3 linked regions of the Tamandua tetradactyla genome follow. The protein of the gene in region 1 interacts with the protein of each later gene in a pairwise test. Links are inferred from orthologs where the notes say so. Each region holds a gene or a part of one and is shown in the gene's direction. Other genes may lie near its edges. The genes, in order: ZXDC, POGZ and WDR5.

Region 1 (9,908 bases):
ATGGTATTCCCCTATGATTTCAAAAATTTATTCAGGATCCATGACGCCTTCCCATTTCTGATTTTGTTCATTTGTGTCCTTTCTCTTTTTTTGTTTATTAGTCCAGCTAGTGGTCCATCAATGTTATTTTCTCAAAGAACCAACTTTTGGTTTTATTGATTCTCTCTATTGTTTTATTGCTTTCAAGTTTGTTGATTTCTTCTTTAATCTTTGTTATTTCTCTTATTTTATTTGCTTTGGGGTTAGTTTGCTGTTCTTTCCCTAAATTCTCCAGATGAGCAATGCAGTCCTTGATTTTTTTCTCATTCTTTTTCTTAAATATAGGCATTTATTTAGGGCAATAAATTTCCCTTTCAGCACTGCCTTTGCAACATCCCATAAATTCTGATATGTTGTATTCTCATTAACATTCATCTCCAAAATATTTACAGATTTCTCTAGCAGTTTCTTCTTTGATTATTTAGAGGCATTTCTTAGTACATTTGCATCGATTTAGAAAAAGAAATAAAAAGACAACAGAATAAGAATTAAAACAATAATAGAAAGAAAAAAAAAAACAAAAACAAAAAACCTATACCTCACATGCAGCTTCATTCAGTGTTTTAACATAATTGCATTACAATTGGGTAGTATTGTGCTGTCCATTTCTGAGTTTTTATATCCAGTCCCGTTGTACAGTCTGTATCTCTTCAGCTCCAATTATCCCTTCTTTTTTTTTTTTAATTAACGGAAAAAAAGAAATTAACCCAACATTTAGAGATCATACCATTCTACATATGCAATCATTAATTCTTAACATCATCACATAGATGCATGATCATCATTTCTTAGTACATATGCATTGGTTTAGAAGAACTAGCAACATAACCGAAAAAGATATAGAATGTTAATATAGAGAAAAAATAAAAGTAATAATAGTAAAATCAAAACAAAACAAAACAAAACAAAACAAAAACCTATAGCTCAGATGCAGCTTCATTCAGTGTTTTAACATGATTACTTTACAATTAGGTATTATTGTGCTGTCCATTTTTGAGTTTTTGTATCTAGTCCTGTTACACCGTCTGTATCCCTTCAACTCCAATTGGCCATTATCTTACCCTGTTTCTACCTCCTGCTGGACTCTGTTATCAAGTACATATTCCAAATTTATTCTCGAATGTCTGTTCACATCAGTGGGACCATACAGTATTTGTCCTTTAGTTTTTGGCTAGACTCACTCAGCATAATGTTCTCTAGGTCCATCCATGTTATTACATGCTTCATAAGTTTATCCTGTCTTAAAGCTGCATAGTATTCCATCATATGTATATACCACAGTTTGTTTAGCCACTCTTCTGTTGATGGAGATTTCGGCTGTTTCCATCTCTTTGCAATTGTAAATAACGCTGCTATAAACATTGGTGTGCAAATGTCCGTTTGTGTCTTTGCCCTTAAGTCCTTTGAGTATATTCCCAGCAATGGTATTGCTGGGTCGTATGGCAATTCTATATTCAGCTTTTTGAGGAACCGCCAAACTGCCTTCCACAGTGGTTGCACCATTTGACATTCCCACCAACAGTGAATAAGTGTGCCTCTTTCTCCGCATCCTCTCCAGCACTTGTCATTTTCTGTTTTGTTGATAATGGCCATTCTGGTGGGTGTGAGATGATATCTCATTGTGGTTTTGATTTGCATTTCTCTAATGGCCAGGGACATTGAGCATCTCTTCATGTGCCTTTTGGCCATTTGTATTTCCTCTTCTGAGAGGTGTCTGTTCAAGTCTTTTTCCCATTTTGTAATTGGGTTGGCTGTCTTTTTGTTGTTGAGATGAACAATCTCTTTATAAATTCTGGATACTAGATCTTTATCTGATAGGTCGTTTCCAAATATTGTCTCCCATTGTGTAGGCTGTCTTTCTACTTTCTTGATGAAGTTCTTTGATGCACAAAAGTGTTTAATTTTGAGGAGTTCCCATTTATTTATTTCCTTCTTCAGTGCTCTTGCTTTAGGTTTAAGGTCCATAAAACCGCCTCCAGTTGTAAGATCCATAAGATATCTCCCAACATTTTCCTCTAACTGTTTTATGGTCTTAGACCTAATGTTTAGATCTTTGATCCATTTTGAGTTAACTTTTGTATAGGGTGTGAGAGATGGGTCTTCTTTCATTCTTTTGCATATGGATATCCAGTTCTCTAGGCACCATTTATTGAAGAGACTGTTCTGTCCCAGGTGAGTTGGCTTGACTGCCTTATCAAAGATCAAATGTCCATAGATGAGAGGGTCTATATCTGAGCACTCTATTCGATTCCATTGGTCGATATATCTATCTTTATGCCAATACCATGCTGTTTTGACCACTGTGGCTTCATAATATGCCTTAAAGTCAGGCAGCGCGAGACCTCCAGCTTCATTTTTTTTCCCCAAGATGTTTTTAGCAATTCGGGGCACCCTGCCCTTCCAGATAAATTTGCTTATTGGTTTTTCTATTTCTGAAAAATAAGTTGTTGGGATTTTGATTGGTATTGCATTGAATCTGTAAATCAATTTAGGTAGGATTGACATCTTAACTATATTTAGTCTTCCAATCCATGAACACGGTATGCCTTTCCATCTATTTAGGTCTTCTGTGATTTCTTTTAGCAGTTTTTTGTAGTTTTCTTTATATAGGTTTTTTGTCTCTTTAGTTAAATTTATTCCTAGGTATTTTATTCTTTTAGTTGCAATTGTAAATGGGATTCGTTTCTTGATTTCCCCCTCAGCTTGTTCATTACTAGTGTATAGAAATGCTACAGATTTTTGAATGTTGATCTTGTAACCTGCTACTTTGCTGTACTCATTTATTAGCTCTAGTAGTTTTGTTGTGGATTTTTCCGGGTTTTTGACGTATAGTATCATATCGTCTGCAAACAGTGATAGTTTTACTTCTTCCTTTCCAATTTTGATGCCTTGTATTTCTTTTTCTTGTCTATAAGAGGGTATTGTTTAGTCTCCATATATTTGTGAAACCTTGGGTTCTTTGGTGATTATTGATTTCTGGCTTCATTCCATTGTGGTCAGAGAAAGTGCTTTGGTTAATTTCAATCTTATTAAATGTACAAAGACTCAGTTTGTATCCCATAATATGACCTATCCTGGAGAACGTTTCATGTGCACTGGTGTTTGGGGTGTAATGATCTATATATGTCTATTAGGTCTAATTCATTTATCAAATTGTGTAAGTTCTCTATTTCCTAGTTGATCCTCTGTCTCATTATTCTATCTACAGAGGAGAGTGATGTATTGAAGACTCCAATTATTATTGATGAAACGTCTATAGCTCCTTTCCATTTTACCATTGTTTGCCTCATGTACTTTGGAGCTCCCTGATTAGTAATGTAAACATTTATGATTGTTATTTCCTCCTGGTGAATTGTCCCTTTTATTCATATGTAGTGTCCTCCTTTGTCTTTTATGATGTCTTTACATTTAAAGTCTATTTTATCTGATATAATATAGCTGCTCCTGCTTTCTTTTGATTACAGCTTGCATAGAACATCTTTTCACTTTCAATCTCATTGTGTCCTTGGGTCTAAGATGCATCTCTTGCCAACAGCATATAGATGGATATTTTGATCCATTCTGCCAATCTGTGTCTTTTAATTGGCGAGGTTAGTCCATTAATATTCGAAGTGATTACTATGAAATCAGTTCTTAAATCTACCATCATAACTTTTAGTTTTTGTCAGATCTATGTATTGCTGACCTCTGGGAAGACGGCCTCTGGGTCTTTGTTGGTTCTTTGCACCCTTTCTTTTTAATATTGTTGCTGTGTGTGGTGGTTTGGAGATAAGTGACCTAGGCAAAATATATTTTTAAACTTAACCCATTCCTGTGTATGTGAACTCTTATAAATAGGACTTTTTGATGAAGTTACTTCAGTTATGGTATGGCCCAACTGAATCAGAATGGGTATGAGGAGACATGCGAGGCAACTAGAGCAATGGGGAGCAATTGGGGGGGGGGGTTAAGAATGTATAATTAGATTTGCATTTTGGAAGATCACAAAAAGTCTGCTGTTGGGGGTTGAATCATGGGTTCAATCATGGTCTCCAGAAAAGGCATGTTCAGGTCCAAACCCTATGTCCTGTGGGTGTGAATCCATCTGTACACAGGACCTTTGAAGATGTTATTAGTTAAGGAGTGCCCAAACTGAATGAAGGTGTGTTTAACCTAATGGGGCCCAAGTCCTTAGAAGCAAAGGAAATTGGCCACAGAAGGAAAAAGCCATGATGAGCAGCCAAAAGCTGTAAGTCAAGGGAATGCTGAAGAGAAAGGAGATGAGGTTGCCATGTGCATTGTCAAGCTTCAGCAAAGCCAAAGAACTCTAAAGATTGCTCACCTGTCAGAAGATACTATCCCTGGGAGGAAACAAGCCTTCTTGTCTCTGAAACCATAAGCCAATAAATTCTTATTAAGCCAACCTATTGCATGGTAATTATTTGTCAGCACCTGAGAAATGAATACACCTGCCCTGTGATGAACAGAAGTGTGCGACAGGATGGAGGCAGAAGATTAGCTTTGGAGTTATTTTTGTAAGAACCTAGGAGTGAAATGGAGGATGCAGAGAAGTGAAGGTACTCCAGACTGATTCTGGAGGTGTGGAAATGGGGGGCTTGAGGGAGGCAGAGGAGTGGCTGAGTTCAGGAACATGGAATAAGTCTGCTATTCTAGTTTGCAAGTTGCCAGAATGCAATATACCAGAAATGGTATGGCTTTAAAAAAGGGGAATTTAATAAGTTACAAGTTTACAGTTCTAAGGCCCTGAAAATGTTCCAATTAAAGCAAGTCTATAAAAATATCCAAATTAAGGCACCAAGAAGAGGTTACTTTCACTCAAGAAAGGCCTATGAAGTTCAGGGTTTCTCTCACAACTGAGAAGGTACATGGTGAAAACAGCTTCTGCTAACTTTCTCTGCAAGTTTCTTGTTTCATGATGATCCCCACGGGGACAAATCCTTCTTTATCTCCAAAGATCTCTGGGCTCTGTGGTTCTTGAGGCTCTCACGTGGCTCTAAAAAAGAGAATCCTAAATACTTCCTCTTTTAAATAGGATTCCACTAAATTAATCAAGACCCACCTGGAATGAGTGGAGTCACAACTCCACGGAAGACATCTAATCAAAAGTTCCACCCTCAAATGGGTGAATCACATCTCCACGGGAACAATCAAAAAGCTCCCAACCAGCGATATTGAATGAGGATAAAGAGACACGGCTTTTCTGGGGTACACAACAGATTCAAACCGGCCCATCTGCTCACTGCAGTAGTGTGAGGCTGTGTGACGTTCAGTACACTTGAACATGTATGCAAGGATCAGAGTAGGAAGACCTGAGTGCCAGGTAAAGGTCCAGGGGCAATGGAGGTGAGGTTTGTAGACCACCTTGTTTGCAGTTTAGCGAACTCCTTAGAGGTGGGCAGCTTGGTGGTCAAGAGCTGAACTCTGTGTTCCAATCCTAACTCCCAATTTCCAGGCTGTGTGACCTCGGACAAGTTATTCTAGCTCTCTGTGCCTTGGTTTTCTCATCTGTAAAACGTTTGTGTGAATGAGTAAACAAATATGTATAAAGTATTCGGGACACAGGAAAGGTTTCTGAGATGCTGGCTGTGATTTTCAATCCCTTTGTCTGCCCTACACGGATGCAAACTTCACTCTGATGAACCAGAGGAACCTCATCTCCCGGAAAGTGAAGCCAACATCAGCTGGGAGAACTGCCGACCATCCCAAGGTTCTAGAGGGGCTCCGCCCACGGCGCCCCGCCCACACCCCGCCCCGCCGTCCCCTGCGGGGTGACGTCATTCGGGACCCAGGAGGCCTCGCGCGTTCCCCTCCCCGGGCGCAGGCCCGCGGCTCCGGGCCTTACTCCGCGCCGGGCTTTGGCTCACACCCTGGGCGGGGCTGGCCGGCGCTTCCTCCGCCGCCCGGGTATCCGCGGCAGCTTCGGGGCCACCAAGATGGAACTCCCTGGGCCGCTGGCCGCCCGGACCCCGCGCGGGGGCCAACATGGCGGCGATGGCCCCGGCCCCGGCCGGCTCCGGCGAGGACCAGGGCGTCCCGGCAGCCCGGGCCCCGCGCGCCGTCGGCTGCTGCTGCTACGGGGCGCCGAAGATGGCGGGTCCGGGCCGCGGCGCGAGGAGGCCCTGGCGGCCCCCGAACTGGGCCCGCCGCCCGTGGAGGACGGCGGCGCCGGCGACTCCTTCGTGGTGCTCCTGGAAGTAGCGCGCGGCGCCCCCAGCGAGGCCCCCGGGCGGCGGGAGGCCGAGCCCGGTCCTGGGCCGGCGCGGGGCGGGCGCATTGGGAGTCCCGCGGGTCGCCCTGGGCCGGGCTCGGGTGGTGCGGCCGCCAGCCCTGGCCCAGCCGCGGCCTTTGCGGGCACCATCACTATCAACAACCAGGACCTGTTGGTGTGCTTCGACAACGGCGTCTTCACGCTGGCCGCGCCGCCACCGGGTCCACAACCCGGGGGGCCTGTCGAGCCCTCCGAACCCGCAGCCGCCCTGGCATCCGGCGAGGAGGCCGCGAGGATGGCCGACGGCAGCTGCGGGGCCCCGAGCGCGGGCCCAGGCGGGCTGGGCTACCGCTGTCCCGAGCCGCAGTGCGCGCAGACCTTCGCCAAGAAGCACCAACTCAAGGTGCACCTGCTGACGCACGGCGGCAGCCAGGGTCGGCGGCCCTTTAAGTGCCCCCTGGACGGCTGCGGCTGGGCCTTCACCACCTCCTACAAGCTCAAGAGGCACCTGCAGTCGCACGACAAGCTGCGGCCCTTCAGCTGCCCCGTGGGCGGCTGCGGCAAGAAGTTTACCACCGTCTACAATCTCAAGGCGCATATGAAGGGCCACGAACAGAACCTGTTCAAGTGCGAGGTGTGCGCGGAGCGCTTCCCCACGCACGCCAAGCTCAGTTCCCATCAGCGCAGCCACTTCGAGCCCGAAAGGCCTTACAAGTGTGATTTTCCTGGTAACCGCGCGCCGAATGCCTATGGGGGAGGGCCGGGTGCTTCGCGGGGTTCCCAGGACCCTGTTAATGAAGCCAGGGGTGCGAGGCCCCGATGGCGATTGGAAATAGCCGAGCAGACCCAGGATACCAAATTCCGAGCCATGGAGCTGGTGCGGCATCACGCAGCCGCTTGCGGCCTATTCTAGCAGAATTTAAAATCGCTGGGCTCCTGAGTCGGAGTGGGAGGGGCGGGAATCTCAAGCGCGCCTGGGTTTGCATGCTTGTTCATTTCAAGTGCTTCCGTTTGGCGTCTCGACCCCCGCTCCGCTGCGGGGATATGACCGTGGGTTAGCGAGCGGTAATCGCAGCTCTCCTTTCCAGTGGTGAAAGGGACAGATTTCTGTTATGATGCTTTTGGTTAACGATGTTGTTCAAGCATCTTCGCAGACACTTGCACTGAGTGATGAGTCAGATCTTTGTTTTCCTCAGTCTCATCACTTAAAAATATTCAGTTATTGATTACTGAGTAAACAGGACAAACACCGGGCAGAAGGAACAAAGATGAATATGGCCAGATGCCAGATTTTAATGCACGGGAGGAATAATCCTGAGTCTGTGGGGCTTCGTGGGTTTTGGCCTCTTATCCTTTCATTTCCTTCGAGCTTCACAGCATTTATGTGCCTTTTATACTTTTATTTTCTTTGAACTTCCCGGTTTCGTGAAGTTTTAAAAATTGTCCTCATTTTACCCATTACGAAACCTAGACCAAGCAATGCTGACGAGATCCAGTGTGGGCTCCTTCCCCACTGTGTCTGCTTGCAGTTAAAGGGAATGTTAAAGAAAGACTCCTTCCTTCTCAGCCTACTATTAGGCAGATATCAAAAGGGACAGTGCTCACGAGGAGAAGAGATTGCTGGTTGTAAACATATAGCTCTTTGAGCTGGTAAGAATGGGCTGTTCCCTGGGGGAATAGGTAGAAGGCTGTACAGGTGGATGAACCTGCTGAGCCACGGCTGGGAGATGTGGGCTGGCTGTGGTTAGGGCATGGGAGGGGTGGTGGCAGGTGAAGGGAAATTGGGAGATTGTAGGAGGGCCAAAGAGAGGGTGGAGGGCCTTCCATGCCTCACTTATTAAAATAGAAGGAAACCTGTAACACGCACCTAGCATACTCCTAGCATGTCCTGTGTGGATGTACATATTATGTATATGCCCTATTCTAATAATGTATACAGTATGAAATATGCACATACTGAAAGTTTGAAAGAGTGAGATACACGACAGATACATTAGCAGGCTCTAATGTTTTTCTTCCATCTGGCAATGGACTGTCTTATGCAAGCCTCTGTGTAGACAGCATGCTTCAGGCCACTGTTTGAAACCTTTTTAATCATTTATTCTGGTGGAAATCAGATGGTGGCTTAGGCCTCAAGCTTGTAAAATGCACAAAGAGCATCATTCTGTCCAGCCTGGTTTAAGGCATGAGGTGTCCCCCTGAGGGTTTTGAGTTGGATGATTAGTGGGTACATCTGTCTGTGAGGTTGATAGAATTGGGAGAAGCCAGTAAAACACCATGAAAAGGGCCAGATGTGAGTTTACTGAGAGCCTGAATCTGACTTTGACAGTGGGAGAGGCAAGGAGACTCGGGAGGGAAGACTGGTGCTGAGGCAGAGTCAAAGGGGCTGATACTGCCTGAAGCATAGGGAGTGGTTCTTTTTGTGGCAAAGAGATTCATAGTATTCAGATTTTCCCAGCTGGGCCAGTGATTACACCAGAGCAGGGGCAGGGAGCAGATTCAGGCCAAAGAGGAGGACTTCAGGGTGGTTTAGGAGGGAAGATGGGCACTTCCCAGGAATGTGTGACTGGGTAAAGTGGAATTCTTGGGCCTGATCCTTTTACCCAGTGCTGTGTAGTGTCTCTGCTTGGTGATTCGCAGGTATGACCGTGGTACAAGTTAAAGGCTCTGTCAAGAGCTACAACAAAGAAACCTGTTAAACAACTTTCAACTTCATGTTCTCCACCATATCCGAGCAGTGAAGGTTTTTGTCAAAGGAGGACATGGATGTGGAGAGTTTGGGAGTTACAGAGAGAGGCTCATTTGACTTGGGGTGGGCCCTAGGCGGGGTGATGGTGAAAGCCATGTGAGTGAAGATTACAGTCTTAGCTTCTTTGACGAAACAGGAAATTGGCAGAAAGAAAAAGAGGGTTGGAGGTTGGCATCTTCAGAGAATGTCAGGGAGGAAATTTATAAATGTAGAGGGGCGAAAAAGTCTTATGACTGTTTTGTTGTCCTCCAGAGCTCTACCTCCGCACACAAAATCTTGTTCTTTATATTTACATTCTCTCAGGTGCTCTTGGGTATCACACAGGCAGCATTGGAATTTGAGTTCATGGAAGAGACACACATGTCTGCAAGATCAGTGCTACAAAACTGACAGGTGGCTGTGATTGGAAGACATCCTCTCAATCCATCTCAAAGTCATATTGCAAGAGGTGGCCACCTGGTGTCCTTTGGTTCCCATTGGCCACCTTGATTTTAGCTATCACAAAGCCAACTTTAATGCTTATATATTTTTTTTAGAGGTGCTTCTGCATCATCTTTTCCCCTTGTCTACTTTAGTGTAAACAATGTCCTGGAATTGTGACTAGCATTTTCTGTGTGGTCTAATTTTTGTTACACCAATGATGAGGGTTTGCTTTTTTCTTTGTTCAGGTTGCGAGAAGACATTTATCACAGTGAGTGCTCTGTTTTCCCATAATCGAGCTCATTTCAGGGAACAAGAACTCTTTTCTTGCTCCTTTCCTGGATGCAGCAAACAATATGACAAAGCGTGTCGACTGAAGATTCACCTGAGAAGTCATACAGGTAATGAACTAGGGAATGCCACATCATTTGAACACAGGATTTGTCTTGGTGTTAGCTGTGGTATTTATAATTATGTTATGTATGTTTTTTC
Region 2 (10,625 bases), on another chromosome or scaffold:
CCATGGGGTGATGCAGGGATCTAGGTGTTTCCACTGTTTCACTGAAGGGGAAGAGAGGAGGCACAGCACCTTTATGTGTTCTGGGCTGAAAGTAACTCGTCATTTACATAACATTCCTGTCTGCCAGGACTCAATTTTTCTTTTTATTCTGGTAATATATATACCACGTAAAATTTCCCATTTGAACCACTTTCAAGAATACAGTTCCATTCTATTAATTACATTCCCAATGTTGAGCCACCATCACTGTCACCTATTACCAAAACTTTTTCATCACCCCCAAAAGGAACTCTGTACCTATTAAGCACTGAGTTCCCATTTCCCCTACTCTCCACCCCTGGTAACCTGAAATCTAATTTATGTGTCTATTAATTTGCATATTCTAGTTATTTCATAGAAGTGAAATTATACAGTGTCTGTCCTGTGGCTGGTTTATTTTACTCAACATGATGTCTTCAAGTTTCATCTATGTTGCTGCATGTATCAGGACTTCAAGTCGGGACTCAATTTTGAGACTCAACTATAACGGCAAGGGAGCCTGGGAACTGTAGGGAGCCTGTGAATACCGAGTAAGCCACAGTCCGGGAATCAGATGACGTAGGACCAGGCAGCCCAGAAGGGCCACTATCCTCGCTGGGTTGGAGAATCAGAGCCCATCGCCTCCATCCCAACAATGTGACTTCAGCCTGCTGAGCGAGGTGTTCTGTCTGGTTATCGTTCAGGTCCTAGAAGTTCTTGAACTTTCCCAAATGTTGGGGAACTTCTGGGGCAAAGATAAAGGAAGAGGCAAAATAATAATAATAATAATAAAAGTAATAGTAATAATAGTAGCAATAAGCCACTTTTAGAGTGAAGCGAATCTCCGGTTGTTTGGGCATATATGTTCATCAGATTATTGAGAGCTGTGTCGCATCTCGGAGGGCTTGCTCTCCTCTAGAAGACCCAGAATGAAGCATTTTGTCCAATGAATTCAGGACGTGAGGGTCTCTCTGGGGTTCATGCACAGGCACACGAATGGGCTTCAAGTCAGAAAGTGTGCAAAACTTTGTGTATATGTACAAGTGTGGATTTTTCTGGGGGAGATAATCCATATCTTTCATGGAGGTTTTCAAGGGGTTCATAATGCAGAAAAGGTTAAGATTCACCTTTCTATGCTAAGAACATGATCTTTATGGGTAGGAGAAGCAGATCTGAGGCTGCCAGGATATAGGGTCAAAGGAAAGAGGGAACTCATCTTCATACCTAATTTGCAGTACTGACACACTGCTGCATTTAGAGGCAAACCTATAAAAGAGAATTATTTCTAGGTTAAATCATTTTCTTCCCTTAAAATGATTTTAAACTGGTGAATCTTGGCACTTTCTCATTTTCAGATTTGATTACCTTTATGTTGTAGACAATAGAGAAGACATTAACAGTGGATCCTTGGCTGTCAGAGGAGATGGATTCCTTGCCATTTCTAACCCCTACTGTATGTACTCAACAAAAAGAGAGGACCCAAAAGGATTTGATACTTATCTGCCCTGTTCCAAATAAAACTTTCAAACTTAATTACGAAGGCATCTTATTCTCTGCATCTGTAAAAAAAAGATCACTTTACTTCTCATGTCCTTCAGTGGAATGAACTGGTAGGTTATTTAACGTCCACAGTTGCATTCTAGAAATTTTAACATGATGTTAAGAAAATGCAAACACTGCTTAATTTGAAAAGAATGTATCCTAGTGAAAAATGAAAACTTATTAAATTGCTCTTTGTGATATATTATAATGAACAAGCCACATATCAAGTGTGTCTATAAAGTAATCCAATTCATTTTTTGGTGAAGCTTTATGGAATCAATCTAATTACTTTATAGTCACCTATTCACCTCCTTAGCAACAATCAATATGAAACAATTATGACTCTGCTTTGGGTATCTCTTAAATAATATTAATTTACTCAAAGTTTAACTAAATAATTATCTCATGCAATCATGTAGCAACTCACAGTAGGACTTTTTTTTTTTTAACAGTTTTATTCACACACCATATCACTGTAAGTCTTGATGGCTGATTAAGTTGCTGCTTATGCATTTCTTACAAAATATATTTTGAAGACAAGACCTTCAGCTGCTTCTTACTGAAAGCTAATGAGAAACTCTTCTTCCTTTAGATATCCACTCTGAAAACATCCTCAAGTTATTTCTCACTCCCTGTACCTCTAGGAAAGTCCCCCACTCTCAGAAAAAATATTCTAAAGAAAATCCAGCAGCAGTCCTCTGAGTCCCCCATTTTTTATCTGACTCTAGTCAAACGCTGAGCTTCACTTTCCCTTTATTTCATGACAATTTACCTGTCAAGTCAGGTTTTTCAGTGTCCTCCTTTCCATCCCAACATGTTGACTCTCCGGATTTCCAGGCTCTGTGTAATCAGCTATCAATCTGTTCAAGCAGGGAGCTGTCCAGATTGTAAAAATGTCTCCACTGTTCCTCTCTCAGGTCTCCCAAATTGAGTAACTCCTTTTGAGTTTCCAGCTTCGAATTATCTGTGTATGTTGTACACATTGGATTGGGGATGCCCTTTAAAAAACAAAACATAACAAAAAACACCTAGTATTATCCCAGGAAGCTGCTTTCTGTCTGGGCTAGCCTCCCTCTCACCTCATCTTTCCCCCCATCTTCAGCCTCCCACTGAGCTTCAGCAGTCAGTGACTGGGTCTGTAGTTTAGAAAAGTGACATCGCAGAGGGCACCCATGACTCACTGCTTTCGAAGACATGTTGAAATCATTTGTCTTTCTGCCTTGACATGCACTCTCCAAGCTGCAGGTGGTTCCAATTTTCAACTCGTGGCAGAAATCATAAGCCAAAGAACCAAATAAGTGCTTCCATAAACTGTAGAAAAGAAACACTCTCCTGCTACCGGTAACTGTGAAATGCCCAACTTGGGAGTTTAGTTAACCTTTGACCTTTTTTAGAAACCCTTTTGGAGAGAATTCCATTTTTCTGAGTAGATTATTTAAGATTGGGGAAGCTTTTTTTTTTTTTTTAACTTTTTTTTACTGTATAATATAACATATATACAAAGCAAAGAAAGAAAAAAACCCAATGATTTTCAAAGCACTTTTCAAACAAGTAGTTATAGGACAGATCCCAGAGTTTGTCAGGGGCTACATACCATCATCTCAGATTTTTCCTTCTAGCTGCTCCAGAACTTTGGAGGCTGGAAGGAATATAGCAGCTTCTAACTGCTCTAAGATACTGGAGACTAAAACAATTATCAATATAATGATTCAGCAATCATAGTCATTTGTTAAACTCTATCTTCTCAGTGTAAGTCCACTATTACCTTTGATCTTTCTCCCACTCTTTACGGGTAGGTGGACCATGCCCATTCTAACTTTTTCATTTTGGAAGGGTGTGTCACTAATATGGGGTAGGGAGATGGAACTACCTGATGTTCTGGGGAGGCTGGGCCCTCTAGGCTTCAGGACTTATCTGGTCCAGGGACCCATCTAGAGGTTGTAGGTTTCTGGAAAGTTACTCTAGTGCATGGAACCCTTGTGGAATCTTATATATTGCCCTAGGTGTTCTTTAGGATTGGCAGGAATGGTCCTGGTTGGGGGTTGGCAGATTATGGTAGGTAGCAATGTCTGACTGAAGCTTGCACAACAGTGACCTCCAGAGTAGTCTCTGGACTCTATTTGAACTCTCTCAGCCACGGATACTTTGTTACACTTCTTTACCCCATTTTGGTCAGGATGGCATTGTTGATCCCATGGCGTCAGGGCCAGACTCATCAAGATTGGGGCAGCTTCTTAGCAGCAGGATTAGGGTCCAATTTCTTCAATTCACCAAGCTATATTGGCTTTCAGATGCCTCTGTAGTATGTTATAGAAGCACATGTGAATTGATTTGTAAGGATTTCATCCAGATTATCTTGTTCTACTGCCTTGTTTTCCCATCATCATCAAGATGGTTTAAAGATAAGAAAGACCAGCGCTATCACTCTAGAAAGCTGTGTTAGCTGATGACAACAAAATGGCCTAACAGTCCAAATTAACGTGGGAATTCTCTCTTTAGCACATGGAATATGTTTTTAAAAATGGGAGTGCTAACTCTACAGTCCTTTTTGAGATGCTGCTCCGTGTTGTAAGGTGGCAGAGTTTCTTCAAATCCCTGAAGCTATAAAATGCCTCTGTCCAAGATTCTTCCAGCTATCAGTCATTCAGCTGTTGATCAATTCTCCCAGGCTATGGCGGTAATTAGGATACGTTTTATAATGTCAAAGGATTTAATCCATTCCCTAATGGCCATTTATCTTTACCCTTTGTTTTCTCAACTATTTCCTCAAGGTTCCTCCAGCTCTAGCAAAAACCCCATTTTAACACTCAGCATGATGCTCTTCCTCAGGTATATCACCATCACTCACACGCATTTCGTTAGCCATCATGGGTCAAAATTGTCTCCCAGGACACCAACTAAGTGATAGAAAAATAGGTCACAAAGGAGTAAACAACACCTTGCAGAACACACACAGCTGAAATAGTAGCTCCAGAACTTCCCTTTTCCCCCTTCACAGCACCTATCTCTGTATCATAAGTTATATATTTACTGATAAATTTATTTGTATGGCAGATTTGTATTTTTCAAAGCGGTCACATACTTTGAGATGTGGAGTCTTTGTTCCCCACCCCTCTTGAGCTGATGTGGGGGAATTGTGGTGGAAATGATGTTATATGATCTCTGCGACTAGGTCACAAAAAGTCATACAACCTGTGCAAGTCCTCTTGGGACACAATCTTGGAACCCAGCCACTGTGATATGAGGATGCTCAGGCCACACGGAAAGGCCACATGTAGGTGTTCTGGCCAACAGCCCCAGCAGCAGCCCAAGCCAACATCCAGGCAGGTGAGGAAGCTCTGAGAGGCCTTCAGGGCCAGCCACTGCATGAGAGACTCAAGTGAGAAATGCCTAGCTGAGCCTACTCATCTCCTGGAACCATCGGAGATAATAACATTGTTTCAAGCCATTAAGTTTTGGGGTAGCTTGCTATTCAACAGAAAATGAAATATTTTATGTGTATAGAGTATCTCTCTACTAGAGTGTGAATTCCATGAATTCAGTGATTTTGTTTTCTTCTTTGTATTGTATTCCCAGCACCTAGAACAAAGCCTGTCTGGCATATAATAAGTATTCAATAAATATTTGTTGATGAATAGATGCAGGATGCATTTTCATATGATGTGCTAAGGGTTATTGGTCAACAGTACATGGTTCAGTCTACTGGGCTAGACCTCATCGGCTGAGAGCACAGGAAAATGTTCCACCAGGAAGATTTCAGAGGCAAACAACATTATAACAAATTATGATAAGTACTGCAGGACACCAAAAATAGAATTAGTGCTGCATGTAGAATTTGTGTTTGGGTGATAGATTCTATAATCCCAACATGGGCTTTTCCACATCAGGTCTGGAAACACTTTAGAAGTGTTTTCAGGAGATAAGTGAGTCTTCCAGTTCCAATAGTGATTCTCCCTAAGAATGACTAGTTGAAATCACTCACATATATATGGTATGAAATGCGATGAAGTGGGAGGAAAATGGGTGACAACTGTGTGTATGTCCATGTGCACATGTGTGCATGATTTGAAATGCCTATTCCATGACCCATTTTCATAGTCCTGTGACTTGAATGGCCATATGAATGGAGTGTGGATGTAAAGATAAGGAATAAATATGGTGTTGGATCTTCCCAGTCTGGCACCAGGCACTGTGATTTAGCATTTGGTTTGCAGCAACCATTTGTGTCTTGTCTAAAGAGCACCAACTTCCTCTGATTACAAGAAAAATACTAAAATTTTATCATCCATCCTCTAAGGAAGCAAGAAAGGACAAAGTTTCTTGGCTACCTGGAGAAGCTGTCAGTTTCTGTTCTGGGAAAAATAACATTGTGATGGTTTTGTATGGAGGTAATCCATGTCTTTGGGTCAGTCCGTCTCAGCCTTGATTGGAGCCCAAAGCAAGGATATGCTTAGAATTGGATATCTCTCTCGTGAGACTATTTCCAATGGTTTCAAGTAGTTTCAGTAGCAAGAATCACCTTGATAAGCACACAGGCGTGACTTCTTCCCAGAATCCCAAAGGTTTTCAAAGCAAAAATGGCTCTTAAAAGTTTTTCACTTAAACAATGTTACCACTGCCACAAATCTACTTGGCTGAAGGACCGCTGAGGACGGGTGAGAGCCCCCGGGGCTGTCCTCGCTGGTGCCCCCGGGCCTCGCCCTCCGGCCTGGAGCGTGCAGTCCCCCTCACTGGGTCCAGGCCTCGCGTGGCAGGTGGGGGCACTCCCAAAATCCCCCGGAAAGCCTAGGCAAGTGAATTGGGGAACATTTCCTTTGGAAACCCCATTTTTCTCATCAGAATCTGGATATTGCTGCTGAAAGTTCATTAATTTTTTTTATTAGAAATATGTTTTTTATTTATTTATTTGCGGGCCCACACAAACTTGACTGGAAAAGAAGCGCGGGCAGGGGTTAGTCTGAGCCCGTGACGTCCCCCGAGCTCCGGCCAATCGCAGGCCGCGAAGAGGGGAGGGCGGAAGTGACGAGTCGTATCCCTCCGCGGGCGAGAGGGCCGGTGGGGGGAGTCGGAGTCTCTCTCCCCCGCGCCAGCTCCCGTACACGGAGCCGCATTCCTTGGCCCCCCCCACCCCCTCCCTCGGGGCCCCCCCGCCCCCCTCGGGAAAAAAAATCCAAACCAAATCACTCGAACCCGAGGGAGGTTTCCTTCCACCCGCGGGGAGACGAGCTTCCAACGGTTCCCTCTTGGCCTTCTCCCCCAAGCCCCCGTCCCCTCCCCTGCTCCCACCCCCTCTCCGGGCGCCGGTGCAAGGTCCCTTTAAGGCGACGGCGCCTTCCTCGGGTCAGACGAGCGGCGGCGACGACCACGGGAGGTGAGTGAGCGCGCGAGCCCTCGGTCTCCCCACCCCCTGCTCCCGGGGGTTCCGTTATCTTTTCGCTCGGCGCGGAGCTCCGAGGCGAGACAATGAGAGGGGGATGGGGCGGGCGCGGGGTGGGGGCGGGGGCTGGGGCGCGCCCCCGCCCACCGCGAGGAGCGGCGCGGCCGTGGCGGCGGCGGCCGTGGGTGCGGCGCGCGCGCACGCGCGTGGCTGTGAGTGCGTGCCCCGCGGGAGGCGCGGCGGGCCGGACGGCGGCGGCCCCTCGCCAGTCGCCTCCGCCCCCCGCCGCCGCCGCCGTGGCGCGCGCGCGCGCACTCGCCGCCCACGGCTCCGCGCTCCCCCCGACGTCCACACGCACGCCCGGCGCGAGGCGTCCCGGGGGAGTGGGCGGGCGCGGGCGGCGGCCCGCCGGGGAGTGGGCGTGGGCGGGCGGGCTAGGGGGCGAGGCCGCGGCGGCGGGGGCGGCTCCCGGGCCCGCGCCCTCCCCGGCCGAGGGGGAGCCGGTGCCCCTTTGGCGCGGGAGGCGGCCCCGGAGCGTTGGCTGCGCGAACCCCCGCGTTGTGTAATCCGTTCTGGTCTCTCGTGCCTCCCAGGCTTTCGTGCTCCTCAGGCACGGGTCCGCCCTCGCCCCCGAGTCCCTTTCGGGCGGGCGCGGTGCTTCCCGACGTGCCCGAGGCGAAGAGGCGCTCCTCTCCGGCGAGCCCACCCCGCCGCGGCGGCGCCATGTTTGGCCTTGGCGCTGGCCGTCTCGGTTGTCCGCGCGCGCTGGAAAGGAGCCGTCTGTCTCTCTGCCTCGCCGCGTGTGCTTGCGGCCGTGGGCTCCCGACCCGCCGGCGCGGGATGCGCCCTGCCGTCGAGGACCTTGTTCGCGCCCTCGCCCGGGCGGCCTCCGCGCGGTGCTGGCCCCGGCCCCTGCCGGTGGAGCTCCTTCCGGGCAGCCGTCACCTCGGGGCGGACTCAGCCTGCACGCTTCCCGCCGAGTCCCAAAACCCCACAGAAATGGGGTGTTTAAAGAAAATTTCCCAAGTAAATCTGGGGGAAGCGAGTGGGATAGAGAAAGGCAATGAATTTGGAGGCCATCGCTTTGAAGGGGCCGGGACCTTAGTCTGTGGTCATTTCGAACAGTCATTGAAATTCCTCGCTTGGGATGCATCGGAAGTACCTGAGAGATGGCTAAGCTTGCAGCGTTGGGGGCCTCGTCCCCAAAGAGTCATTGGGTGGGGCGCGGCCTGGCGAGGCTGCAGGCGTGGCTTCTCCGTTTTCACCCTGCTGACCCTCAGCTGGTCCTGGTTAAGATCCCCACACCTGGAGAGTTACTGGTCTAGCGGAAGGGTGAAGGATGTAAATGGGAATCTCTACCCTTGATTTCCTTCCCCTTTCCTTACTCTGTTGGTGGTGTGTCCCCTGGTAAAGGCACTCAGATAGTGAAGAAGTGCTGGGGTGAACTCCACTTCCTCAGGTTTCGCCCACGTCTCGCAGTAAAGTGGAGATCATGATCCCTCGGGATCTCAGACCTTTCAGGATGGCAGCAGCTCAGAACTATTTTCAGAATAATGCAGAAATGCTGTTTATCCTTTTCGCTAGTTTTTGCCCTGATGGTCCAGAAGCAGTGCTAGTTAAAACTGTCCTCACCTTAGTACAAAGCAAGGTAGAGGAGCCATACTGTGTACCTGAGAATATCCTTGACAAAGCAGTAAGAATGACTTTTTTTTTTAAATCCAGAGTACATCTTTTTTTTGAGAAACATCCACACACGTACACTCCAACCATATCATCAAATCAGTGGCTCACAGTGTCATCACGTGTTTCCATATTTTTCACCGTGATCATTTTTAGAACATTTGCATCACTCCAGGAAAAGAAAAAGAAAAAAACTCATACATCCCATACCTCTTACCCCTCCCTCTCGATGACCCACAGTATTTCAGTCTACCCAATTTTTACTTTTTATCTCTCCGTATTTATTTTTTATCCACATATATATTTTTTACTCATCTGTACATACCTTGGATAAAAGGAACGTCAGACACAAGATTTTCGCAATCACAGTCACGTTGTAAAAGCTATTTCGGTTATACAACCCTTGTCAAAAATCAAGGTTACTGAAACGCAGATCAGCAGTTTTGCATACTTTCCTCCAGTTTCTCCAACACACAATAAACTAAAAAGGGATATCCATATTATGCATAAGAATAACCTCCAGGATGATCTTGATTCTGTTTGAAATCTCTCAGCCACTGAAACTTTATTTTGTCTCATTTCTCTTTTCTCTTTTGGTCAGAAATGCTTTTTCACTCCCATGGTGCTGGTCCCAGTTCATCCCTGGGAGTCTTGTCCCGCATTACCAGGGAGATTTACACTGCTGGGAGTCATGTTCCACGTAGCGGAGGGCAGTGAGTTCACCTGCCAAGTTGGCTCAGAGAGAGAGAGGCCACATCTGAGCAGCAGTGTGCTGGAGGTTGGGGGTGACTCTTGGGCATAATTATCACTTGGCTTAGCCTCTCCCTTGCAGGAATAAGCTTCATAGGAGCAAACTCCAATATTGAGGGCTCAGCCTTATTGTATTGGTTGTCCTCACTTGCAAGAATGTCAGGAATTCCCCAGATGGGGAAGTCAGGTATTTCCTCCTGTCTCCCCAGTCCCCCAAAAGGATTTTTTTTTTTTTTTTTTTTTTTTAAAGACAGAGAGAAGGAAGGAAGGATAGAAGGAAGGAAGAGAGGAAGAAAGGGAAACATCTTTTAAACATTTTCTTGTTTTATTGTATTTTGTTTCTCCGTTTTCGTTACATGGGCTGGGGCCGGGAATCGAACCGAGGTCCTCCGGCATAGCAGGCAAGCACTTTGCCCGCTGAGCCACCGCGGCCCGCCCCCCAAAAGGATTTTGCAAATACTTTAGTCACTGCCCAAATTACTCTGGGATATATTGGGGCATCACACTAACCTGTATAAACCAACAGGATCTCATCCTGTTCAAGATTCCATGTACTTAATGGTGTTCAAGTAAACTGACCGTACAAATTAAATTAGATAATGTGCTACCCAAAATATAAATTCTTCCCCAAATAAACATTTCTCTCTTTGGTCTTGCTCAGAAGTTGAAATTTTAAAATAGGAACCGTATCACCCTTTACCTAGTATTCTGATTTACCTTAGTCCTATCCAGATCAGCTTTATTTGAATCTCTAGACAAAGTCTGATCACTTTTTCAGCCTTTTAAACAGTTGCTGAATGGGGTAATGCTGACTTTGATAGCATTAATGCTCTAACTCTGAGTCAGTGGTGTCGCATAAATACTCAAAGTTTCAGGGATCAACAGGTTACCTACGAATAGATCACTGGCTCAGAATTTAGAAATTTCAGTTACAACTCCTAAATACATGTGACTGCTATAAGAGTTTACAATCTAGGAACCTTTACAGTAGGCCCCAACCTGACAACCCATACTCTCAACTTCAATTCTCTCCATTTGCATATTAAAGTTAATCCATGTGAGTGAGGCATAATATTTGTCTTTTTGTTTTGGACATGTTTATTCAACATGTATTAGGGTTCATTCACCTAGTTGCATGCCTCACAGAGTACATCTCTTTTTAGGAAGCTGTGATGAGATGGAAAGTATACCCAAAGCCCTTTTGCTGCCTGCTGAGGTTTGGTCATTGTCATGAGGAAGAGCATTTGGGAGGTTGAAC
Region 3 (10,786 bases), on another chromosome or scaffold:
CCTTCACCCAGTAAGGCCCAAGGCCTTAGACGCAGGGGAAATTGGGACTTGGGAGTCAGCAGAAGCCAGAGGCGGAGATGCAAGGAGATGGTTGCCCTGTGATGGAGGCAGAGCTGGGCCACCTCCAGATGCTGCAGCTTCAGAGAAAGGATGGCCCTGCTGATGCCTTGATTTTGAACTCGTGCCCTCCCAAACTGTGAGACAATAAACTCCTGTGTTGAAGCCAGACGCATCTGTGGTGTTTGTTATCGCAGCCCTGGCATCTAAGAACAGAGCTATCTCCTTCTTTGGGTCCTGGCAGAAGGTTCCAGCCCACAGATGTCCCCCGATTTGTCTAATCATCCCCTGCTCGTAGGCACTGAAGTGGGTCCAACGCCTTCGTCCTTCTCACTTCTGCCGTGAGCATGCCCTGCCTTTCCTGTCCCTGCAGGCTTTTTGGAGGGACAGGTTCTTGGAGGAGAACTTACTGGAGGTCCCACGAGCTTCAAATAGGCCCTTGAGGTCTACTTTTTACTTCTTACCTCCTGCCCTCATAATCCTTATTCCTCCATTCCCAACAGCTTTTCCATTAGACTCCGAGACAGAAGGGAAAATCAGTGCCTGGGATCCTAATTGTCCAGGGGTTGAAGTTCTCATACTGCAGGACTGGGTCTTCTCTGCCCCACATAAAACCATCAACCAATCTTGGAGCCCTGCCTCCTCACCACACCTCCAAGCAGACCCACACTGGTGCACACCTGCTCCAGTTGCCAGCTAGGTTCTGGCAACTGGTCTGGGTGGAGCGGCCATTCCCTGCTTCCAATTTTGTCCCCCAAGGTCGGGCAGGCTACAAGGAAGACAGCTGCGAGTTAACCCCAGGCTGACAGCCAGCCTTGGAGGGGCCCTACCAACCCGCTCTGCAAAAGCATGCCCTTGGCTGTCCGCAAGGGGATTTAAAGAGCCTGGAGGATGGAAGGAAAGGGTGGGCAGGTGGAGGGGCCTCCGAGTCTCCTTGTGGAAGGGAGGGAGCATGCCTGCAGCTGGTAGCAGAGCCGCCTGTTTGAAGCCCTGGGACTTTGGCCCCTGCGCATTTCCTCTGTGTCAGCTTTTCTATTTTTGACCGGTTGCTTCCCCTTTAGGGAATTATCAGCGATACTGTGGGAAACCCAGAAAAGCTTTGTCCAGGGTCTGCTGGGTTGCCTGCTCATGCCTCGGCCTCCTGGGCTCCTCTTTACTGCCTGGGGGTGGGGGGTGGGGCGGTTCATGCTGGCATGTTCCCCACTCCTGGATTTTATCCTAAAGAAACCATTTATTGTGAAATCCTGGAGACAACTTCAATGTCCAGGTGAGGAGTAACACATAGCCACGAAGAGAGGAGGGAAAGTGACCCTGGGTGGTGAGCTGGGAGGATGCTGGTGGTAAATGTGAGCTTGGAAGGCAGAAGGCAGAGCTACTGTGATCACAATTGGGTGGAAGTGATATCTGCAGATGGATAAGAAACAGTGTGGTCCACAGGGTATGCCTGGACGCTGGAGGCCCAAAGAATCAGTTAAGCTCCTGGTCTGTCATTTACTTGCTGTGTGACCTTGGGCAAATCACTGAGGCTCTCTGAGCCCATTTTCTTCTTCTGTAAATATCAGAATAGTTTACAACCATGTTTGGGGTTTCATGAGACAAGCAAAGGGCACACAGTAAGTGCTTCCTAATAACGTGGATAGATGGAAATAGAGTGGTATTGTGGGGAGAAGATGGAAGCAGTCACATTTATATTCCTTGAAAAAAAATGACCCTGTAAACCACTGTTGGCTACCCCAAATTAAACCACAGTAAAGCCGTTGAAAGTTTCCATCGGCTTTTTAGGCCTCTGATTTCAATCTGGCCTGGCCTAGGTGCTGTTTCTTTCTTAACTTGTCTGGACCTCTCTCCTTCCAGGGGGATTACACCCAAGTCCCGGGGCAGGGACAGGATTTGCAGACAACACCAGGTGCAGCCTGGCTTCCCATGGGGGAATCTGCATTCCTGGAATTCTTGCTGGGAGGCCCGCCCAGCCTGGCTCCAGTTGAGGCCGGGCTTCCACAGCCGCTGGATGTCCAGGGGCCCGGGCCAGCCTGGCGGTTCCCGTTGGTGGGTGGCTGAGCTCCCAGCACCCCCTGGAGGCAGAGGGGAGCCCATCCCAGGGAGGCGCCTGGGCCTGGGATGGGGTGCAGGGTGAGGGCAGATGGATTTAGTTGTCATGACTTTGCAGCAAGCTGAGGATAGATTTAAAACAAACAGGAAGAGAAAGCAAACATTCGATGCTTCATTCATTCGACTGGTCTTTATTAAGCACGTATTGGGCACCCTCTGCACCAGGGTGAACAGGCTGTCTCTGCTCTCGTGAGCCCTCCGGTAGCGGGGAAGTGGACAGGTGAGGGGGCCCTGGTGAACAAGGTGCAGAGGGAAGAGAGGGAGGGCTGAGCTTGGAGGTCCTTGAGGAGGGGACAGCCCACAAGTAGGACCAGTAAGAGAAGGAATCCAGTGGGGGACGATGCTCAACCATGCTGGTTTACCTGGGCTGAGGGGTTGTCTGTCAGGAATGGAGACTTTCCGTGATAAAACCAGGACAGTGCTGGGCAAACGAGGGTGCCAAGAAGGATATACGATGTAGGGGATGAGGCTGGGGGTGGGTGGGGTGTGCTCGATAGCTGCCAGGAAGGGCAAGGCAGCAGAAGGGTGCCACAATGACATGGGGTGTGGGGCTTTTTCTGTAACTGGGAAACTGAGGCCAAAGGAGAACAAGGATGGTGGCATAAGTAGGACTGGACATGGCTGGGTACCAGCGATTTCAGAGACCAATGTGACTCAGGACGAAGCTGTCCGCTGAAGGCCCTTGGGTCTTCCAGGTGACAGCAGGACACAAAGTGTGTCCTGATGGACCACTGGGGAAGATGTTGGGGAAGAAAGAGAAGAGCCCAAGGAAGGGGAGATGGTGGCATAAGTCTTCCAAACTGGCTGCCCTGGCCTGCTTTTCAGGAGAAAAGAATTTACACAAAACCCCACTGACCTGGGCTATAGGGGAACACTGGGGTCTCTGGATAACATCAGCAGCAACCTGGAATGGTAGCCCAAAGGTGTGGGCTACCCTGCCTGTGAAATCCAGTGAGTGCTTCCTGGAAACCCCGAATTCAGGGCATCCCCATGTGCATCGGCTTCCTTGACCCTCCCTCAATTGTCATTGGAATTTGCTAACCCCCGCCTCCCCCCCCCCCCCCAAGGCTCTGGGCTTGGCCATTAAAGGGTCAGTGCTCTCCTGCCACCTGCAGCCGTGTGCAGGGAGCCTCACAGCATTCCTAGGGCACGGCAAAGGAGCAGAGCTGTTCTAATGCCACCTCCCAGCAAAGCCAACCTCTAGTATGGCAGTCCACTTTTCCTTACGAAATACTTATTGCTAAGTTACAAAATAGAGCTTTTCAAGGGCTTCGGCCCTACAGAAATGTGACATTTTGCTTTTCAGATCAGCAGACTCCATAGGACCTTTCCTGTCTGCTCCAGTCCACATGCGTTACTTTCTTCTTTGAAGACCTATAACACCTACTTTTTATCCATCCATCTATCCACCCATCACCCACCCACTCATCCGTCCACCTACCCCATCCATACATGCACCCACCCTTCCATTCCCCTATTCATCCATTCACCCACTCATCCATTTATCCAACAACCTATCCACTACCCATCCATCCACTTATCCACTCAACCGTCCACCCACCTACTCACCTACTCATTCATCAGCCTATCCATCCATCCATCTTCCCATCAGCATCACTGAGTGTGTACTGTGCAATTGGGGGTTAGGAATGTAGGTTCTGCCTTCAGCCAGTTCTTTGGCTGTTGTGGGAACCTTCACAGGGGAGTCTTGGGCAGCCTCTCAATCTCTTGGGGCCTTAGTTTTCACAATGTGAAAGGAGGATAATGAAGGCACGCACAGTCAAGGGTTGTTTTGAAGGCACAAGAGAAAATATATGTAACAAACAATGTAGAATTGGGCATGCAGGTTCTCAAATGTATGCTAGATATCACTCCTCTTTCTCCTCCTGCTTCGTCCCCACCCAGCTCAGCCAGGCCAGGACACAATGAGCTTCAACTACAATGAAAAGGACTGTTTTCCATTGGGGAGGATCTGGGAGCGGTGGAAGTACCACTGGGTGGGGTGGGGGTGGGGGGATGAGAGGAAGCCCCTGAAGCACCAGTGGACACTGGCTGGTGGAAGGACTTATGTGAGATAGGACGGTGCCAGGCAGGCTTGTGGCCTTGCTGTGCTGATGGACAGCCTTGAGTGGGGGTGGGAAGCAACTTTTTAGAATATATATTTATAAAAATTGTTCATGGATACAGTTTCATTTACCGATTCATCTCCACTGGCCCAAGCGCAGTTAATGTTCTGAAAACAAAACAAAAACATAAACCCCAAAGGCTGAAGTGTTTTTTCTTGCTTTAGTTCTTTTCCTCTCTTCTGTTTCCACTTGTGGTTTTTCTGAGCCTGACAACTTTTGGAAAGGGATATAAAAGGATTTACAACATAGATAATAAAGCAGATGGTTGTATTGTTCAGCTGCTCTACCCACTGTGCTATTTGCTTTCAGGAATTTAGCTATGACTGGAGGCACGGATTACAAAACAATTGACAGTATGAACGGATTTTCTCATTTTCACTGGAAGGAGGCAAGACCCATTTATCTGGTAGTGGAAGTTGGGCGCACAAGTTAGCCGTTTGGGGTGAGTCCTGGACTGGAGGGGGAGGCAAGCGAGTTTGTCAAAGGAGTTTGGATTTTGACCTGAAGGCAATGGGAAACCATTTCTGGGTCTTAAACTAGGGAATGACAAATCAGAATTGGATTTTGACAAACTCCCCTTTCTGCTCTTCAGCGACTGCTGGGTGACCAAGGTGGGGATGGAGAGAAGTGAAAGGATAGAGGACTGTGTGAGGGTAAAGGGGAACCTGTGAAGAGCTGCCCTCCTTCACTCCTAAGCTAGCTGTGTTTACCTTTTGCTCCAGGGCACCTGGCCCCAAGGTGGTGAGGTTGGCTGGGCAAAGAGCTCCGTGGGGAGCCAGGCTGGGGCCAGCCAGGCAGGGACCTTGCCCACCCTGTGTCCCCTCTGGGAAGGGCTTCACATCAGCTGCCACTCTTCTGGCTCTGTATCCATGACAACCACACACCTCCTGTTCCCAGGGTGTTTCCCTTCCAATGCTGGGTCTCTTTACCAGTACACGTTCCCGTATCCTATCTGGGTGTCCATTTCCGATTTGGAAAATAAGGGACTACATTATTCTGCCTACAGGCCGGGTTGGGCCCACGAAGCTGTGGAGGCCACACACCCCTCCAAGATCCTTAGACCCGTGTGTGGGAGAAGCAGGCAGCTGGGCGAGAACGTGCAGGGGACAAAACCAAGCTCCGGCCCTACCCTGCCGTGGTCCACGGAGGTGACAATGCCTGCTGGAGGGAAAGCGCCTCGCAGCCTGCAGAGCAGCAGGCACGCAAGAATCCTCAGCATAGCTTCTCGCCTCCCAGGGGCTCCGGGGAACGGTCCCAGCAAGTCGCAGCCCTGGGCAGGGGCTCCGGGCAGGCAGGGCAGGCAGGGCTCGCGGCCTCACGGGCCAGGCCCGGGCCGGGCTCTCCCGAGACGGCTGTCAGGACCTTTCTGCAGCTCGGGCTTCTTTCTCCTCTTTAAGCCGGGAAGGTCTGACCACCTGCCCGCCCTCCCGCACTTTGCCCAGGGCTGCCCTCGAAGCGTTACCTGTGGCCCCCGCCGATAGGAGCGCTCGTGGAGAAGGCAGCTGCTTCTCCAGGCGGCTCCGACTCGGAGAAGAATCGTGGGGGCCACGCCGCCAACTCAGACCGCGGGAGGAGGGCTGGATCCTCCACGGGAGCCGGCTGCGGGGTGTGAGAGTTTGAGGGCACACTAGCTTATTCCTGTACGTTTATTGTGCTTCCATTTTCAAAAAGTGCAGGAAAAGAAGGGCCTACATCCGACAACGCGTGGGTCCACCGCGGGAAGCCTGCGCACACACTATCCCTTTAAGGCGTTAGGCTTGATCGAGGCATTCTGCCCCTTGCCGCTCGCCGTAGCGCTCCTCCGAGAGGCTGATTTTGTGGGTCTACCCCGCCCCCAGGACCCCGCCCCCTCCCTTCGCGCCTGCGCACTGTCGGGCGCACCCCTCCGTCGGCGTCTGGCGCCCGCCGGAGCTGCCGCCTAGCCGAGCTCGGCCCGTGCTTCAGACCAGGCGGCTGCCGACGAGGCGTCCCGAGCGCTCCGGCCCCGCCGCCGCCGCGGCCCGGCAGGTAAGCGGGCGGCCGTCTCCGCGCGGTGGGCGCGAAGCCTGGGGCGAAGCGGGCGCGATGCCGGTGTACTCCAAACCGTCCCCCGCCGCCGCACGTGTTCCCCGGCCCTCCCGGGACCCCGGGCCAGCGCGCCCCACGCCGCCCGAGGGGCCCCCAACTGCCTCCGCGGCGGGCCCCGTCCTCGCTGTGGAGAGCTCCTCGCGAGGGCCGCCGGCCTCTCACCGCCCTGCTCCCGTCCCAGGACCCGCTTCCCCCGGGCCGAACGCCGCAGCCCGGCCCGTGGAGCGCCCTCCCCCTCGCCTCTCTTCTCCCCGGTGTACCCCTTAGACCCCCCTGGGTTCCCGGATGCTCTCCTCGGCGACCCCTGACGGATCGTGGGCCCCACGGGCCCTTCCCGCCCTCCCCAGCCGTCCAGTGACGAGACGGAGCCCGAGGGTCGCGGCTTCTTTTTCCCCTGCAGCCAGCGGGCACTGCGTCTCAGGGCCCCCCTTTCCTCCAGTCCTGCGCCAGGGGAAGACCCCGGACGGGGCTGAGCGCTCTGCGGGCTTGCCCACGGTCCCTGATCCTGGCCGTCGGCCGTAAGGGCTGCGAGTCCTGGGGCGGGCTCCACCGGGTGGGCTTTCTGCCATCGGGGAGAAACCACCGGCCCTCCCGCGGTGGCGCCTCCGGCCCCGTGTTTCGTGGGTGAAAGACACGCATTAACAGCTTTCTTGTGTGAGTTTTGCCCACCCGGCACCATTTACCGGCCCTCTGCAGCGAGCGTTTTCCTGAAGCTTTGGCTCGGACAGGCGCTGGGCCAGACTCTGCACCCGAGGCTAGCCCGGCCCCATTGGGAAGGCGGGTGGAAGGGCCAAGTACTGAAGGGGGTGTTCAAGAGCCCAGAGGGCTGGGGGGCAGAGTCCCCTAACTCACTGCTGGATGGCCACCTGCGGGTCACCTGGAGGCCTCCTGCAAAGTGCAGGCGACCTCCTCTCCGTCTCGGAGGCCTCATTCCAGGGTGGAGCCTGGGAATCTGCCTTTAACGAGCAGCCCAGGTGCGCACGCTGCCTTAGGAGGTCAGGCTCACCTGGATGCGCTAGGAGGTCAGGCTCACCTGGATGCGCGCTTGCCTCTGCTCTGGAGGCCAAGTCCCGATCCCCTTCCCTTCACTCAGATGGTGCTCACCTTGTGTGTACCCCTCGTTTTCAAAGACCAAGTCCCTGTCCAGCTCCCCCCCCCCCAAATGGTTGTTTTTCAAAAGGTATTCCATGGGATTACCTGAGTGTTCACGGAAAGTGCAGAGCCCTGGATCCTAACTGTGAAGTAGAATCTTGGGGTATTGGATCAAGAAATCTGTGTTCTTCAAAGTCCAGCTTTCCAGTTGACCTTTTTGCACATTGATGTGTGAGAGACCCGAGAGCTGAACGCTTCTGCTGTAAGACTGCCTATTTCATTCCCTGGGCTTGCTCCTCCCCTCATGTTGGCAGAAGCCATGTCCCACCTCCAGGTGGGGCTGGCTTTATGTTAAAAGGAGCTGCTCTGCCACTCCCCCCCACTCCAGCTGCCCTTTTCACCTGTGTGGGCAGACCAAGCCCTCGCCCCTCTCACCTCAAGTCTCTGTTCTCACTGGTGTTTTGCTTGGGTGGGCTGGCTGGCAGGCATCTGCCATGCTCTCTTAGTTTTCTGCTGTAATCTCAGTTTCCTTATCAGACTTTCCAGCTTTGTTCCTAAGAGGAGGTTTCCTTAGTGCCACTCTTCGCTGCTTATCCATCCCACAGAGGAGAGGGCAGCAGTTGAGGTAAACTGGCAACCAGCCAGGTTGCACTAAGGATAATCAAGTACCTAGCATGTACTTAGCATCAATTTTGTGCCAGCGCTTTGCCTTTGGTGGGTTTTGTGAGACCTATCCTTCTCTCCCACTCAGACTCAGTCTTTGAGGGCTGTACTAGGACAGGAAATCTTTAATGCAGGTAAACAGAGCTTTGCTGCATGTGTATTCTGCCCAGTGGCTGTTACATTGTGATTTTTCTTCTATTCTGTTGGATGAAGACAGAGGCATGGGTTTTTCTGATAGTTCCCGTTTCACCTTAGTGTTACAGGGAGGTTGTGCAGGGCTTCGGACTTAAGCTTTAAGCTAGAATCTACGGTGTGTAAACTCATTAGGTTAGGTGTAGTGCTACCTTCTGGACTTTGGATGGCCAATGATGGTCGCAGAATGGCTTGGCAGCTCTTCTTTTTAATAGTGCTTTCCCTCATTTCAGAATCACCTGGTGTGCTTTTAGGAAATGTATCCAAAGAATGGAATCTATTCCAGTGATAGAAGAAACTGATCACGTACTGTACGGGTTGTAGATATTCCTGTTGTCAAGTGAAACCTAATTGAGTGGCAGTCTTTTTTCCTGTTTTCCTGCAGTTTGAGTCTTGCTTGCAGAGCATCAGTGCTGTACTTTTTCTACAGAAGGCAGTAGGTGGAACCTGTAGCAGACACAGCTGACTCTGGTTTGTTTTTTTGCTGCTGTGTTTTGTAGCTGTTTCACCAGGGAGAGAGAGCCTTTTAAGTTGTTAGCATTTTGGAAATCAGCGTTGCATCTACTACTAGTACCTTGCAATAACAAAGCCCACCCGTTAGACCTAGAACCCCTGGGCATGTGTTCTGTTTTCAAACGTGGTCATTAACAGTATCATATCACTTAGGATGCATTTTACAATTTGGATGAGCTCCCAGACTTCTGCACCTGAATCTTAGTCTCTTCTAATTTGGCATATTAGTTTTCTATCAAGAAACCTTTGGGCTCGTTGAAGTTTTCAAAATTGTGTTTTGTGTGAATTGTGCTATATTCCTATGGACCATGGGACACAAAATAGGAAGCACCCTTGAAGTGTAGGGTCCTTGAGAAAGTGTGAGAGCAGGGATATTTTGGCATAGTGTCTGAAAAGTGAGCATGAACTTAGGGTAATATATTCCAAGTTGGAACATTTTGTTGCTACAAGACTCAATATGGTAGTCAAATGGTTTTCTTTTTTATCTTTTTTCCCCTGGATATTAAGTTTTGAAACTGTGGCCTGTTTACTGGCCTAGGACCCTGTTTGTGTGCTAAAGCTGCTGGAATGCAGTATACCACAAACGGGTGCTTTTTAAAGGGGGTTTGCAATTCTAAGGCCATGGAAGTACAAATTAAGGCATTGAGAGAAAGATACCTTGACTCTGAAGAAAGGCCGATGGCATCCCAGTTTCCTGTGTCACATGGAAATGCATGAGGCCACATCTGCTGGCTCTTCTCTTCAAAATGTTCGAGATTCTGTGTGTCCTTGCTTGTTCCTCCCAGGGCATTTCTTTCTTTCAGCTTCTCTGGGCCCTGAACTCTCTCCAAAAATGTCTGCCTTTTAAAGGACTCCAGCAAGTGGATTAAGACCCACCGTGAATGGGCGGGGTCACATCTCCATGGAAACAACCTAATCAGAATTCCCACCCAGTAATAGGTCTGCCCCCACAAATTTGGATTGAAAGAATATAGGCTTTTCTGGGGGTACATAACAGATTCAAACCATCGCTTTCCTTTTTAGGTTTCAGCTGGTGGCTGGCCTCTTCATTGTGAGTCTTCTGTGGAAAACGGTGTACACTCCACTTACATCTCCTACCTGGTGGGCTTCAGAGCCATGGCCACAGAGGAGAAGAAGCCAGAGACCGAGGCAGCCAGAGCACAGCCGGCCCCGTCGTCATCTGCCACTCAGAGCAAGGTGTGTCCAGGAAGGGCCCCTCAGGGAGTTTCCCAGGAAAAAATAGGTTTAAAGATTCTTGGAAATATCATTTCAAGGCCTTAAGTCTATTCTCCCCTACTCTGTTAAATATTGCCACCAAGTTTTAGTCACTGCTCACCTACCTAGCAAATGCTTTTTATGTTCCCAAACCTGTCACCTGAAGAGGGAGCATGATCAAACATGTAGATGGAACTTTGTCAAAGATACAGATTCTTGGTCTTGAATATAGGAATTCCTGAGAGTGGGACGAAAAAAACCAGTTCTTAATAAATACCCCCTCTCCCCAGTTCAAATTCTGCTACTTAGCCAGGCCTGTGCACTGTTGTTGTAGACAAGAGAACAGCTAAACTGAGACCTTAACAAAGGGAGCAGTGTGTTTAGGTTTGCTTTGGAGAAGGCTGGGCCAGAGCCTGAGCTTCGGGGACTTGTGTGATGTAGTGTTGCCCCAGGGACACGACTAGTTGGAAATGGGGTGGGGTGGTTCTGTGAAGGGGCCTTGGACCTTTTTAGCTTGCATGGTGGAACTATTAACCCTGAAGTGGGGAGTACAGGAGAAGCAGGGTGTTTGGGGAGAAGTTAATGATCTCAGATATAGACATGTTCGATATGAGAGGTGACATCCAGGTACGGATTTTCTGTTGGCACTTGGAATATGGATTTGGGGCTCAATAGATAGGTCTGAGATTGAAATAAAATTTTTGGAAATCAAATCCAAACTGGTAAGCAATTGAATTGGATAGTGGTGGTGA

The links.
Region 2: the proteins of ZXDC (region 1) and POGZ interact in binary tests that used the Homo sapiens proteins (3 or more experiments, as listed by UniProt). The link is inferred for Tamandua tetradactyla from reciprocal best matches to the Homo sapiens genes ZXDC and POGZ.
Region 3: the proteins of ZXDC (region 1) and WDR5 interact in binary tests that used the Homo sapiens proteins (3 or more experiments, as listed by UniProt). The link is inferred for Tamandua tetradactyla from reciprocal best matches to the Homo sapiens genes ZXDC and WDR5.

What each region holds. Positions count from the first base shown.
Region 1 is NC_135335.1:28,729,143-28,739,050, reverse strand, and holds the start of ZXDC (zinc finger protein ZXDC), read left to right. Parts: upstream 1-5,842; 5' UTR 5,843-5,972; coding exon 5,973-6,975; intron 6,976-9,664; coding exon 9,665-9,817; intron 9,818-9,908. UniProt on the Homo sapiens protein: Cooperates with CIITA to promote transcription of MHC class I and MHC class II genes.
Region 2 is NC_135330.1:3,844,152-3,854,776, forward strand, and holds the start of POGZ (pogo transposable element with ZNF domain), read left to right. Parts: upstream 1-6,696; 5' UTR 6,697-6,931; intron 6,932-10,530; 5' UTR 10,531-10,625. UniProt on the Homo sapiens protein: Plays a role in mitotic cell cycle progression and is involved in kinetochore assembly and mitotic sister chromatid cohesion.
Region 3 is NC_135328.1:132,473,400-132,484,185, reverse strand, and holds the start of WDR5 (WD repeat-containing protein 5), read left to right. Parts: upstream 1-6,174; 5' UTR 6,175-6,299; intron 6,300-6,857; exon of another isoform or gene 6,858-7,013; intron 7,014-9,842; 5' UTR 9,843-9,935; coding exon 9,936-10,016; intron 10,017-10,786.